Linked DNA regions of Mus musculus: regions 2, 3 and 4 are each reported to be linked to region 1. The links are microRNA targets in miRTarBase. Many come from high-throughput screens and were not tested one by one. Region 1 holds a microRNA gene; each other region holds the end of a gene's coding sequence.

The links. The annotated mature microRNA mmu-miR-297a-5p reads AUGUAUGUGUGCAUGUGCAUGU and lies in region 1 at 2,215-2,236, shown strand. An mRNA with a match to its seed (bases 2 to 7 or 8) in the 3' UTR can be bound and repressed. Matches are read on the target gene's strand: a 7mer-m8 pairs with bases 2 to 8, a 7mer-A1 pairs with bases 2 to 7 and ends in A, and an 8mer does both.
Region 2: the mRNA of Mansc1 is a reported target of mmu-miR-297a-5p. Seed matches in the 3' UTR shown: 7mer-m8 at 2,250-2,256.
Region 3: miRTarBase lists Ncam1 as a target of mmu-miR-297a-5p. Seed matches in the 3' UTR shown: 7mer-m8 at 602-608.
Region 4: the mRNA of Zfp652 is a reported target of mmu-miR-297a-5p. The part of its 3' UTR that is shown has no 7-base or 8-base seed match.

What each region holds. Positions count from the first base shown.
Region 1 is chr7:10,957,473-10,960,712 of GRCm38, reverse strand. It overlaps Mir297-1 (microRNA 297-1), which reads left to right and starts at 2,201; the gene lies at 2,201-2,276.
Region 2 is chr6:134,607,397-134,610,636 of GRCm38, forward strand. It overlaps Mansc1 (MANSC domain containing 1), which reads right to left. Exons shown (of 4, transcript NM_026345.4): 4 at 1,811-3,240. The coding sequence ends at 2,572. Gm38910 (a long non-coding RNA gene) reads right to left here and starts at 607. Exons shown (of 2, transcript XR_869496.1): 1 at 1-607.
Region 3 is chr9:49,502,710-49,505,949 of GRCm38, reverse strand. It overlaps Ncam1 (neural cell adhesion molecule 1), which reads left to right. Exons shown (of 19, transcript NM_001113204.1): 19 at 387-3,240. The coding sequence ends at 507. Among named protein-coding and RNA genes, the nearest start is that of Gm11149, 14 kb to the left of the region's middle.
Region 4 is chr11:95,763,659-95,766,658 of GRCm38, forward strand. It overlaps Zfp652 (zinc finger protein 652), which reads left to right. Exons shown (of 5, transcript NM_201609.2): 5 at 1-1,057. The coding sequence ends at 401. Among named protein-coding and RNA genes, the nearest start is that of Gm38957, 12 kb to the right of the region's middle.

The DNA.
Region 1 (3,240 bases):
TTATTTTTAAGTATAATAGTTTGACAGCTCACATAGCTTAGGCTGACATCATATATTACAGGATGAACTCTATGTACCCATTGCTAACCATAAACTCATAATCCTGCTTCTATCTTGTAATTGTTGGGAAGACGGATGTGTATGCCCGATCACATCATCACATTCAGCTGGGACTCAAGTTTCCCTAGTGATTGTTAATACATCAACCCCCTACAACAAATGTCACCGCTTTGAGGAGAAGCCGTATATTTATATAGTATTTGTTAAAAAGAAAAACAGTGAAAGTCAAACAGCAATTTAAAATAAACTAGGGTTTGTGATGACAAAGTACAGAGAGAAACTTGAGAAAGAACCTTGTCTTGGCCCCAATACCTTCTCTACATGGATAAATCTTCAAGTGCTTTTTGTTTGTTTGTTTGTTTATAAGACAGTGTTTCTCTGTGTAACAGCCCTGGCTGTCCTAGAACTCACTCTGTAGATCAGGCTGGCCTCAAACTCATAGAGATCTGCCTGCTTCTGCCTTCTGAGTGCTGGGATTATCGGTGTGCACCACCATGCCCAGCAATATTCAAGTGTTTTAACTTACAAATACTTTCAATGTTAACATTTGCTTATTTATTTATATTTTTGTTTTGTAAATGATTTATATATTTATTATGTATAATAATATATCTGTATTTCATGTATTACATACATGAAAAAGTATGTGCTGCCCAATATCCCCAGTGCTATTGAACAGAAACAGAATAACACTGGGTCCCCGTTCCAAGTACAGTGAGAGATCCTGCCTGGGGAAAAAGCAGAGAATGATAGAGCAGGCCGCTCAGTGTCCTTTCTGCTCTCTTCCTGTACATAAGCTCATGCATCTGCGTGTGTCATATATACTGTTGCACACCTCACAATATATATACAATATACATATCTGTAGCTGTCTTCAGACACACCAGAAAAGTGCATCAGATCTCATTTCAGATGTTTGTGAGCCACCATTTGGTTGCTAGGATTTGAACTCAGGACCTCTGGAAGAGCAGTCAGTACTCTTAACCGCTGAGCTATCTCTCCAGTTCCAAAGTTAACATTTGTTACTGTGACAATAAATGGCCCTGTGAAATGCTGTCTCTTTCCATAGCAAGGGAGAAGCAATTTCTAATCTCTTCTTTGTTCGTGTTAATTTAGGTCTATGAGGCACATAGTCCTTCCTGTATCATGAAATATGGATAATATAAGATTACAGAGTCACGTTGCCCCACTTTCATGGATCTGAGTTTCTCCATGGAGAAGGAACAATTGGTTTCCTCTAGGAAGGCCCCCTGCAGCAAGAGCAAGCTAGAAAATCTGCTCCCCATGTTTTGTGCAGTCGTCTTTTTATGCAGACTTTGTCCCAGATGGCTCTTTCCACTTCCACGCTGGAAAGCTGGGTTTCTCTGCAATACTTGATAATGGATTATTTCACTGTCTTTGTGTTTTGCAATGTAGTTTTACAAGGTAGTTCTGGGTAGTCTAGAACTTACTAGATAGCTCATGCTGGCCTCGAGTTTTACAGTCTTTCTTCTGTCTTCAGCTGAGATATATACCACCATGCTACGAGGGCTTTAGTTTTAATCATGCAGACTTTTTCGCTTTGATATTAAATTTAAAAAAAAATCTACTACATATTTCCTGGTGGCTCAGTGGGTAAGAGCACTTGTTGCACAAGCTAGGGACTTGTGTCCAGCTTCCCAACACCCACATGAAAAAGTATGTGCTGCCCAATATCCCCAGTGCTATTGAACAGAAACAGAAGAACACTGGGGCCCCATTCTAAGTACAGTGAGAGATCCTGCCTGGGGAAAAAGCAGAGAATGATAGAGCAGGCCACTCAGTGTCCTTTCTGCTCTCTTCCTGTACATAAGCTCATGCATCTTTGTGTGTCATATATACTGTTGCACACCTCACAATTTAATCATTTTGGCTAAAGTGATTTTGTTTTTTGGTGGAGATCTCATGTAGGCCTGGATGAACCCCAAACTCCTGACCCTCCTACTTCAATTTCTCAAGTGCATGCATGTGCAAAAGCTAATTGATTTGTTTTTGAGAAAGGGTATCACTATGAAGCTGACTAGTCTGGAACTTGCTATGTAGAATTGCCTGGCCACAGTCTCACAGAGGTGGCATTAACAGCATGTCCCACCATGCCAGGCCCTAGAGCTAAATTTAAAGAATATGTATGTATGTATGTATGTGTGCATGTGCATGTGCATGTATGCATATTGCATGTATATATTATGCATACATGTATGTATTTGCTTGTGTTTGTATGTGTACTACAGCATGCAGGTGCTTCAAGATGATCAAGAGGATGTTGGTTTCTCTGAAGTAGAGTTAAAGATGGTTTTAGCCACCTGATGTCAGTACAGGATATGGAACCCAGGTGCTTCGAAGAGAGCAGCCAATGTTCTGAACCACAAAGCCATCCATCTCTCCAGTGCCCAGCTAAATTGTCAACGGGACTGCTTATGTTTCTTCCTTTGGGGCAGAATAAAGAGATGGACCTGACAAACCCTTTTAGCTACTGAATCAATTTAAGGTATTCACTCTAGTCAATTTGGAGGTTGTTCAGCATACATAATTATTTGTTTGAGACAGGGTCTACCCATGTAACTCTGGCTGGATGGGAATTCATTGTGTAAATTAGACTAATCTATATATTTTCTACAATCCTGCCATTAAGCTTGGAGCTCTAGGGTTTCTTGTGCCCTCTTCTGGCTAATGAGAGCACTGCATTTGTGTGTACAGATCCATACACAAGCTCCCACAGTATATGCATAATAAAAAATGAAATAAAATCTGGATCAGGAGAGATGACTCATTAGTTAAAGCATTGGCTGCTCTTCTAGAAGACCTTTGTTCAACTTACAGCACTCAAAGTAACTCACAATTATTTTTGACTCCAGTTTTAGGGGACACATGCTCTCTTCTATCCTCTACATGTGCCAGGCATGCAGGTGCTGAACAGACATACAAAAATGCAGGAAAACACCCATGTGCAATCAACCAATCTATTTTTAATTAAAAATTTTTGACAGGAGTGCTGATATACTCCTTTAATCCCAGTGTGGACACTATGCCCCTCCTTAGATTTGGGAACAAAACACCCATGGAAGGAGTTACAGAGACAAAGTTTGGAGCTGAGATGAAAGGATGGACAATGTAGAGACTGCCATATCCAGGGATCCACCCCATAATCAGCATCCAAACGCT
Region 2 (3,240 bases), not on the chromosome of region 1:
AGAGGTGAGGAGGAAGGGGAGAAGCCCTTGGGTCATTTTCTCCTTCTGCCTTCCTGGCTACCCTTGTTAATCAGCTACTGCCCTCTAGTGCTTGCTGTTTAGGTCACATGTGAAGTCCAAAGTGTGTGTGTGTTCAGTGTATGTATGTGCCAGATTGTATGTATACATATACACATATAGGTACCTGTGCGGGGCCAGAGGGGATGGATGTTCGATCACCTGGAACTAGAGTTACAGATGGTTACAGCTGTAGGCTGCCGGCAGCTGAACCCCAGGCCTGTGTAAGAACAGCAAGTGCTCCGAACTGCTGAGTCAGCTCTCCATTTTTACCTTTAAAAACCACGTTTAGGGCCTTAGGAAAATAGCTCAGTCAGGAAAAGGCTGAGATCAGATCCCAGCAGCCACTTAAAAAGCAGGTGTGATGGTGCATTCTGGAATCCTAGCACCGGGGAGGTGAGACAGGGGGATTCCTGGAGCTCACTGGCCAGTTAGTCTTGACAAACGGTAAGCTCCATATTCAGCAAGAGCTTGGATTAAACAAAATAAATAAGGCGTAAAGCAGAGTGGTGGTGGCGCACACCTTCAATCTCAGCACTCAGGAGACAGAGGCAGGGGGATCTCTGTGAGTTCCATGTCAGCCTGGTCTACGAAGCTAGTTCTAGGACACACACACACACACCAAACCTGTCTTGAAAAAGAAGCTAAATAAATAAATATATAGGTGAATCGTAGAGGAAATGACCTGTGTTAGTATCTTGACTGTCAACGTGACACACCTAGAAAGACTGTCTCCTCCATGATATTGACCTCTGTCTGATGGATGAAGGAGGGGGACCCAGCTCACTGTGGACAGTACATCTCTACACAGATGAACCTGGGCTATATAAGAAAGGAGCAAGCCCATCCGCAGGGGTTCTCGTGATTTCTGCTTCAGTCCCTGCTTTAGTTGCTGCCCCGTTTCCCTCATTGGTGAGGTTTGACCAGGAAATGTTGCTTGGTCATGGTATTCTTCACAAGAACAGTGTCAAACTAGACACCACCTGACACTGACCTCTGGTCTCTACATACGTGTGCAAACACAAATATGTACTAACCTGTTTATATCTGGATGGTTCTACCATTCTTGTATAGCCAATAAGCACATTGAAATCCAGAGATGAGAGGTCCAACGGACCCAGATGGTCTTCTCCACTCTTAGTTACCCTAACCCCACTTGTCTGGCAAAATCTCTTCCTTATCAACATTTCCCCAAAATTGCAGAACGCAACCAATAAAAAGTATAGTATACTAATCAAAATGCTACATATTACTTCTGATATCATTCCCAGTGAACCTGTAATTGATGGTTGTTCAAGTTTAGATAGTCATAAGTAATGTCAGAAATTTTTAGACTTGGTACAATTTTAGAAAATGTTAGCACTTTTTAAAAAAAAGTTAGGCCTAATCCTAAATCCCTTGTTTGGCTGTGTATAAGAACTAATTAACTAGCCAGTCACGGGGTGGGGGAGGGGAGCACATACTTGTAATCCCAGATCTTGGATGGCAGAGGCAGGAAGATCAGGAATTCAAGACCACCCTTGGCTCCGTGGAGAGTTTGAGGCCGGTCTAGGCTACGTGAGGCATTGTCTTAAACAAATAAATAACAAAAAACCGTCGTCTCCATGGTGGACTAACACTCTGCTAAGATCCTCCCTAAGGAACTTCTTTGGTCATTGGTGGGAAGAGAGGTCGTAGGTTTTCAGCATGGGGTGCCTGCTTCCCCACTCCCTCACTTTGCTGATGGGAAGAAATTGAAAGCTATCCAGCTGGCTGTGCCGCCAGAACAAGAGATTTATTCAAATATTTAATTGGAGGAAGATACATCTGGAATGAATTTTATTGGAATTCATATAAAATAAAAAAATAAAAATAAAAGAGGACCCATTAAAACTCGTATCAAACAGTTGCCATTATCTGGAATGGGGAATAGTAATGAATCAGAGCTCAGATGTCCTAAACCAACAAGCTGTCTTGATCTAAAGCCAGATACTACGTTTCTAGTTTATATTTAAGTATACTTAACATTCTAGTTAGGAATTATTTTCAGCTACTATGTTACAGACAGATCACTCAGTAACTTAACTTAGTTTCTTTTAACCCTTCTTCTCTTCCTCTTTAAAAAAAAAAGCCAAACAGACAAACAGAAAGTGGTTGGACTGAGGGATGGCTCAGAAGGAGATGGCTTGCCTAGCATGCAGAGGACCCTGACCTGTATGTAGTATTGGGAAAAAAAAAATTAAAAAAAATTTTTTTAATTAAAAATCCAGACATGGTAGTGAAAATCTGCAATCCCTGAACTCAGGAGGCAGAGGCAGGAAGATCAGGAGTTCAAAACCAGCCTGGGCTACCTGAGCCTGTTTCGAAAAGGAAAAGGAAGAGGAGGGAGAGGAGGGAGAGGAGGGGGAGGGGGAGGGGGAGGGAAGTAGGGCTATTCTTCAAGATACAGTTCCTGCTGAGACCGGCTGGGCAGAAGGGACACAGGTGCGATTGGCAATGAGTTCTTACATGAACTAAGAGATACCGAACTTGTCTTTAGATGTCAACATAGATCCCGTTGATCAAGTAGTCAAGTCTTGAATACCGTTTCCTACGGAGGGCTTCAACCAGCATCCTACCCAAGAGGACGAGACCTATTACCAGAAACAAAACACCACAAAGGAGGGTCCCAATGAGAAGCCACTTCTCAAATGAAAGGCCATGCTGGCTTTTTGGACCCTTGTTCAGCGATGCGCTGCCTACACTGACCCTCCTGTCCTCCCAGGAAGCAGTCTTGTTTGTAATGGAAGACTCTGAGGTTGAGCTTTTCCCGTGCCTCGGGTCTGAAGTCAGCGTAGAGCCTCCTTGAAAGGGCATTGTTTCTAAGATGCCTTTGGAGTCTGTATGTGCCTGAAAGGTGTTAGTCAAAGCTGCCTGATGTGTAACCACGGGTGTAAAACTTGTAGACCCTGGGACTCCTGGGAGCTTCGAGGTCACGGTGGTGACAGGTGATGCTGTGGTGGCCTCCTTCTGCTTCAAAGTCTTAGCTGTCACTGAAATGCTGGTCAACAGAAGCTCAGGCTTCAGGGTGGCAGAGACGTTACGGAGGGGAGCCACAGCTACAGTGGTAGGTGGAGTCGGCACAGTTTTAGGGAGCAGATGAGCCATTTTTAGTTCTGAGGGAAGCTGTAAACTCTGAGAATGGCTTTTTTCTTCAGGGAGCTG
Region 3 (3,240 bases), not on the chromosome of region 1:
CACCTCACTGCGTTACTACCACTTGTCACAGTGGGAGAGAGGAACTCCCAGGTTAACATGGGCTGGGGAAAGTTAAGTCTGGAAGAGGAGACGATTGTTCTTGGCTAGTTCATCTCCACCTAGCCATCTGCACCTTGGAATTATGGTTGCATTTAAAGTCACTATACCCAGGATTTCTGGGGACATGCCCCAGGTGTGAGTGGTTTGGAGAGCTCTCAGGTGATTTCAATGTTCATGCAAGGTTAGATGCTGAAGCTGCAACTGAGGCCTCCTCCATCCCATGTGGCACGGGGAGCAGGGGGAGGGTGGTATTTTCAGAGGGGGAGGGCAGTATTTTCAGAGCTCTACTAAGTGGTCTTAGCAACACTGTTTCTGTTTCTCTGCAGAAAGGGCCCTGTAGAAACAAAGTCTGAGCCCCCGGAGTCAGAAGCCAAGCCAGCGCCAACTGAAGTCAAGACGGTCCCCAACGATGCCACACAAACAAAAGAGAATGAGAGCAAAGCATGATGGGTACCAAGCAACAAGCAAAGATCAAAATGAAAAGTGACACAGCGGCTTCACCAGAGCATCCCCAAATAATCCCCCCCCCTCTCTCTCTCTCACATACACACACACACACACACACACACACACACACACACACGCACACACAAACACATTCCTCTAGTGTCTTTTGCCTTTAAAAACAAAACCAGATAAACAACACGGGAATGCCTTTTTGTAGGGTTCTAGAAAGGGCTCCTGTGTCTTACACTCACTTGTTAAGAAAAAAAAGAGACAAAAAGGTTAAACCCACAGCCAAACTAGGACACTCCGTTCCCTGAAACCATTTAAAATTCAGACAAAAGGGCCCCAGATTAAGAATCTAGGAAGCTCAGATCGAAAAAGAAAGAAAGAAAGAAAGAAAGAAAGAAAGAAAGAAAGAAAGAAAGAAAGAAAGAAAGAAAGAAAGAAAGATAGATCTAGGCTCGGGGAGGCTGCAATTGGTATTACCCAATTGGCACAGATCAGTTTCAGAAAAAAATGCTTCCAAGAACTTAGACTAAGGAATGAACCAAGCCCACAGTTTATTTTTATACTTTCAGTCAAGTTGGAACTCTGTCGAACCTCACAAATAAGTTATACTTTCCGTTCAGTTTGTGTTTGTTCCATATGCGGAGTGTGGCACTCTGGCTAGCTGAGTTCAGTTCCCACGGGGACTCCTGTTTCTTAGGAAGCATGCCAAATGCCAGCTTATTCCAGTTCTTTTGCTTTTGATTTTTTTTCCTCTACTCTTTCTTTTCTTTCCCTTTCTTCCCTGTTTATCAAGTTTGCTTTCCAGTGTTTACAAGTTGACAGACTACGTTTGACTTTGGTTGTGTTTAATGTCCCTGTATAAAATAGCTCCCCCCCCCCCCCGCCCCCTGTTTTTTCTTTAAGCAACAGGTACCCCGTAGAGGCAGGTAGAATCCTCACAGGTTGCTTTTAGCATGGGTGAAGGTTACAAAAGATGATTGTTTACAGTGGCTCTATCCCCCTAACCATCCCCTGCCCTACCCCTGAGGATTCTGATTCATTACAGTTTTTACCTGTGTCAAACTGGGGCGAGAGCCCCTCCTTCTGAAATGATTTTGCCTTTTTTTTTTTTTTGTTAATTCTGTTTCTTAGGGGGAGATGGGGGATGTTAGACCACTTTTGGATTAGCTGCCACCTGCCTGTGTCTGTGACACTGGACCTACTGCCCAGGTGTCTGCGCACCCTTCCTCTGAAGGACTCCTTTGGCTTTGTTGAATGAAGCAGAGAAGATTGTATAGTTGGGGCTGGGGCTGGTCTTGGTGAACACACTTTTCTTTTTTTTTCTTTTTTCTTTTTTTTTTCCTTTTTTTTTTTTTTTTTTTTTACCCCAGACACCTCCTTTTTGTAGAAAGCCAAATAAAATATATACATACCACTTCCTTTAGAGCCCAGAATCTAGATTTGAACGGAAGAGCGCGTGTGCTTCAGGGAAGTAGTGTCTCCTTTTGGAAATCTATGGAAGTAAAGTGACATCGGCCTTCTGTTCAGTTAGGCAACATTTGTAAAAAAAAAACAAATATCGTCTGGAGTTATAATACAACTCTCCTGGATCGGAAACCAAGTGGGGGGAAAATACAGAAACTTTCAGGGGATGGGAGGGGGGAGAAGGGAAAAGCCAGCCCTTTGTATAGAAATTTTGCTTTTGTTTTTTCATTCTGCTTTAGAACGCAAGCTTGTGCACTGTGGATGCGTGAATATTTTAGTGTGAAACGTGTTTTTGTCATAGTATTGAAATAAAACTTCAACATAGTTTGGTTGTGGAAGGTATAGCAGATAGTTCAGAAAAGAAAAAAAAAAACACAAACAACTATTCAGGAAACAAAACAAAACAAACAAATCCCAAAAGGAAAAAAAAGGAATCAAGGCCTTTTAATAGGCAATAAAACAGAGTGACACTGATGAAGAGGACGCTAAGCCAACAGACGTCCCCCGACAGCACGTGTTCCTTTCCCAAGTACAAAGTGACAAGAGGTTAGGGTGGCCAGACGCACCCGTGTTCACTCTGTGGGCCACATCCCCCAGGGTTCTGACACTTCTGCAGTGTGACCAGTGGTGATGCTAGGTTATAATTTCAAACTGTGAAAAATAATGGTCTCGTCCTTTACTCAGTGTGGGGTTATTTTGCATTTTCTCAGCTCCCGGGGATGGGAATGGAGGATCCCAGAACACTCAGCCCAGCCCAGCCCCTTTCATTCCAGGGCCTGCACAGATCCACAGTTCACGTACACGGGTCCTCAGGAAGAGCTATCGGGTAGACAACTCTGAGGGCACTTAGCAGAATGGGAGAGCTGGGTAGCACCCGAGCCAGGTCCTTGCGGTGAGGGGCAGACTCCTTGGGCCACAGCCTGTTCCGGGGAATCGCTTTCCCATATGGTGAAGTCGGCGGCTGGACCGGCTCTGCCGAGGGCACACTGTACCTCCTGGAAATGGTGTACTCCACTGTTTGTGGTTGGATACATTGAGCTCAACTCTGATGATAAGAAGAGACAGAGGTATGGCCAACTCCAAAATAATGTGGCCCAGAGTAGCTGACGCTCAGAACACTGGCCACACATTTGCTGGAAGCCAAGACCGCCCACACTTTGATATGCCTCTCTCTTTATACATATGTTTGTCTCGCCATGCATGGGTTTTCCTTTCTTCCTTTTTCTGTTTCTTTTTATTTTTAAACAGCAGTAGTCTCTC
Region 4 (3,000 bases), not on the chromosome of region 1:
GGTTCCGCTTTTCCAACATGCTGAAGGCCCACAAGGAGAAGTGCTTCCGAGTGACCAGCCCAGTGAATGTGCCGCCAGCTGTCCAGATCCCACTGGCCTCAGCTCCAGCTGCTCCCGCTCCGGCCGTGGCCAACACTCCCACCAGCCCAGCCCCTGCAGTCAGTATGAGCCCCGTGGGTGCTGTGCTTCCCTCGAGACCCGTCCCGCACCCTTTCTCACACCTGCACATACACACGCATCCACACCACGCGCACCACCTCCCCATCCCTCCTGTGCCTCACCTGCCCCCACCCCCAGCCCTCTTCAAGAGTGAACCCCTAAACCACAGAAGCCAGAGCGAGGACACCTTTCTGAGACACCTGGCAGAGAAGAACAGTGCGGCCCCCGCCCAGCACCATTAGCCCTAGCCAGTGCCGTCCCCACGGTGAGCTGGCAGAAGGGACGCAGCCGTACTTCTCTGGGGTCTGCCTGACTCCACGGCCTCCTTCAGGGCCTTCACCGTTGTCCTGGTGAGCCCTCAGACTGGCCTGACGGAGTGAAGACGACGACTGCCCTTGAAACCAGGGGAACCACCGAACTAAAGCCCAATTTGCTTGCATTTTCTGATGACTTTTATAAATTTCAGATACTGTGACTGTGGGATTTTATAATTTCATATCAGCGGATGAGGTATGCTTGCTTTTATATCTCGGTCTTCTCCTCAGAGAGGGGTGGGCCTGTTTCCTTTATACTGATCGGGAAGGCTGTGAGGTTAGTCCAGAGCATTAACTATATCACTGTGTACTGCAATGAATTCGGTTCAGCTTTTGGTGCTGGCTGCAGAGTCGAGCTGGCTGCGTTTCACACAATATCAAGCATTATAGAGAAGATGGGAATTTTCTTCTTTGTGTAGCTCTTTTAACACACTCTTTATTTTACTACAGAAATTATTTTAGAGTTTTTGTATAGACTTTAGTAGTCTGTTTCTAAAATGAGATGTATTTCAATAAGCTGTGTAATTTTTTCAGTGTAGCTAAACCCATGTTGTAAAATAGATAAATTTTTATAATCATCAAAATGTGATTCTCAAAGATGCATATAATAACTTCTATCTCAACTATTCTTACATCCATACAACTCAAAGGTGCTTCTGTGACTGGATGTATCTGAGCGGGTCACCAGACCAGGTACAAAAGCAAGGTTCAGTACAAAGTTAGTCAATGAATTGGATGTCTCTGCTGGGCATTCAGTCCATTGGGCTCACTGACACAGCCAGTGTTGGTGTCCCTTTGAGTACTCTATGGATTCAGTGGGGTGGTGTGAGGGAATGGGGTCACTCAGAGTTAGCGGGGCTTGCAAATGTGAATGACATTTGTGAATGCCCTCGGGAGAAAGTGACGGAGGTCGTTTCCTTGGATCACGTCTGTTTCTCACTTTCTTAGAAACTGTGTTGTGCGCAGCTGTTAGGGGAAGATGGATTGGAATCTCTTACTTTGAGGCTCCTGTGTTTTCCAAGAGTGTTAGAAGAAGCTAATAGGGTGAACTGAAATCACAAACGTAATTGCTGGTAGTGACCAAGAAATGTGGATGGGAAGGCAAGTTGACTTTTAAGTTTTAAGATGCCTGCAGTCTCTAAAACGTGGATGTCCACACTGACTGGTATCTGCCATTAAAAATGTAGTGAGAGGAAACCCCCAATACTGTTGCCTGCCCTCTCCAGAGGAGGGAGACCGCAGCATCTTAGGTGAGGAAGGAACAGTGCCCTTGTCTCTCGAGCGGCAGCTTACTCGGTCAACATTTGGGGAACTTAAACAGAGCGTGGTCACCCTGGAGTGGATATACGGAAGGCCAGAGAGAAGGGCTAACATGGTGGTTTCAGTCAGCTGACAGGTGTGCACGGCACAGCTCCTACGCATTCTGTGCTGCTCTTCTCAGAGGCTGAGTTCCAAGAATGGCCTCTGCCTCCCACCTCTCTCCTCCTCGTCTCTCTATCCTCAGGCTCTTAAATCAGACCCTTAGCTGTTATTTATTTATCTTTGATATTAAATGTGCAGTTATGCGTTGTGCACTTTTTCCTGGCTACTTAACTCTGCAGTGGGGACACACGGACTCTGGACTGAGGTTAGGTTCCTGCTTTTAAAGTATCATACTCTAAATTAGTTTTTTTGGTTTACTATTTCTAGATTTTTCTCCAGTTTTGCCCTTGTCTTCTGTAAACATAGGAAACATTGTGTGTGGAGTCAGGAAAGTCTCTCAGGACACACTTTCCCTCCAGCTTCTAGCTATGAATTTTAATGAATGGTATTTGTAATATTTGCATGCATTCTTGCAGCCCTCACAAACCCGAGGCAAACAAGGAAGCAGGTTCCTTTTCTGAATGTCGTGACTTAGAAGTCACCCCTACCCCATTTACCTCCACAGTCTCCTCTGCAGCTTATGGGAAGTCTGCAAATCCACCTTCCATGTAGACAGATCCATATCTCACGGCTAAACCTATAATATTCAAGTATTTTTATCAAAAAAGGTATAATTTGTAGCTAAGTTAATAATTGGTTATACCTTATTTTATACTAAATGCTTTTACAATATGAGGCAGACATTCTGAATTCTAGTCTTGAGGCTGTTGAATTACAACCATTTGATGGTTATACTATGAATATTCATTGAAAAATTCAGGTTGTCAGTTCTGACTTTATTCAAATGACTATAGCCATAAGAAACTGTCCTCTACATAGGAAACCCAATAGCGAGTCAGTAAGCATCACTATCCTTAACAGAAGCAGAAAAAAGAATTTAAAATAGTGACTTAGGCCTACCACACTCTGTCATTCTTACTCAAATGTGAAACAGTGTAGAAATGGCAATATATTTTTTTTTTCTAGAGAAGTTTATCTTCCCTGACTTGAGAAGCCTGCTCTAAAAAATGGCTCTCAAAAGTGTACGACTAATGGGCATATGTATAATGAGATCTATACAGAAATGCTTCGGAGTCAGAAACCACAGGGTCACGCCTTAAACATG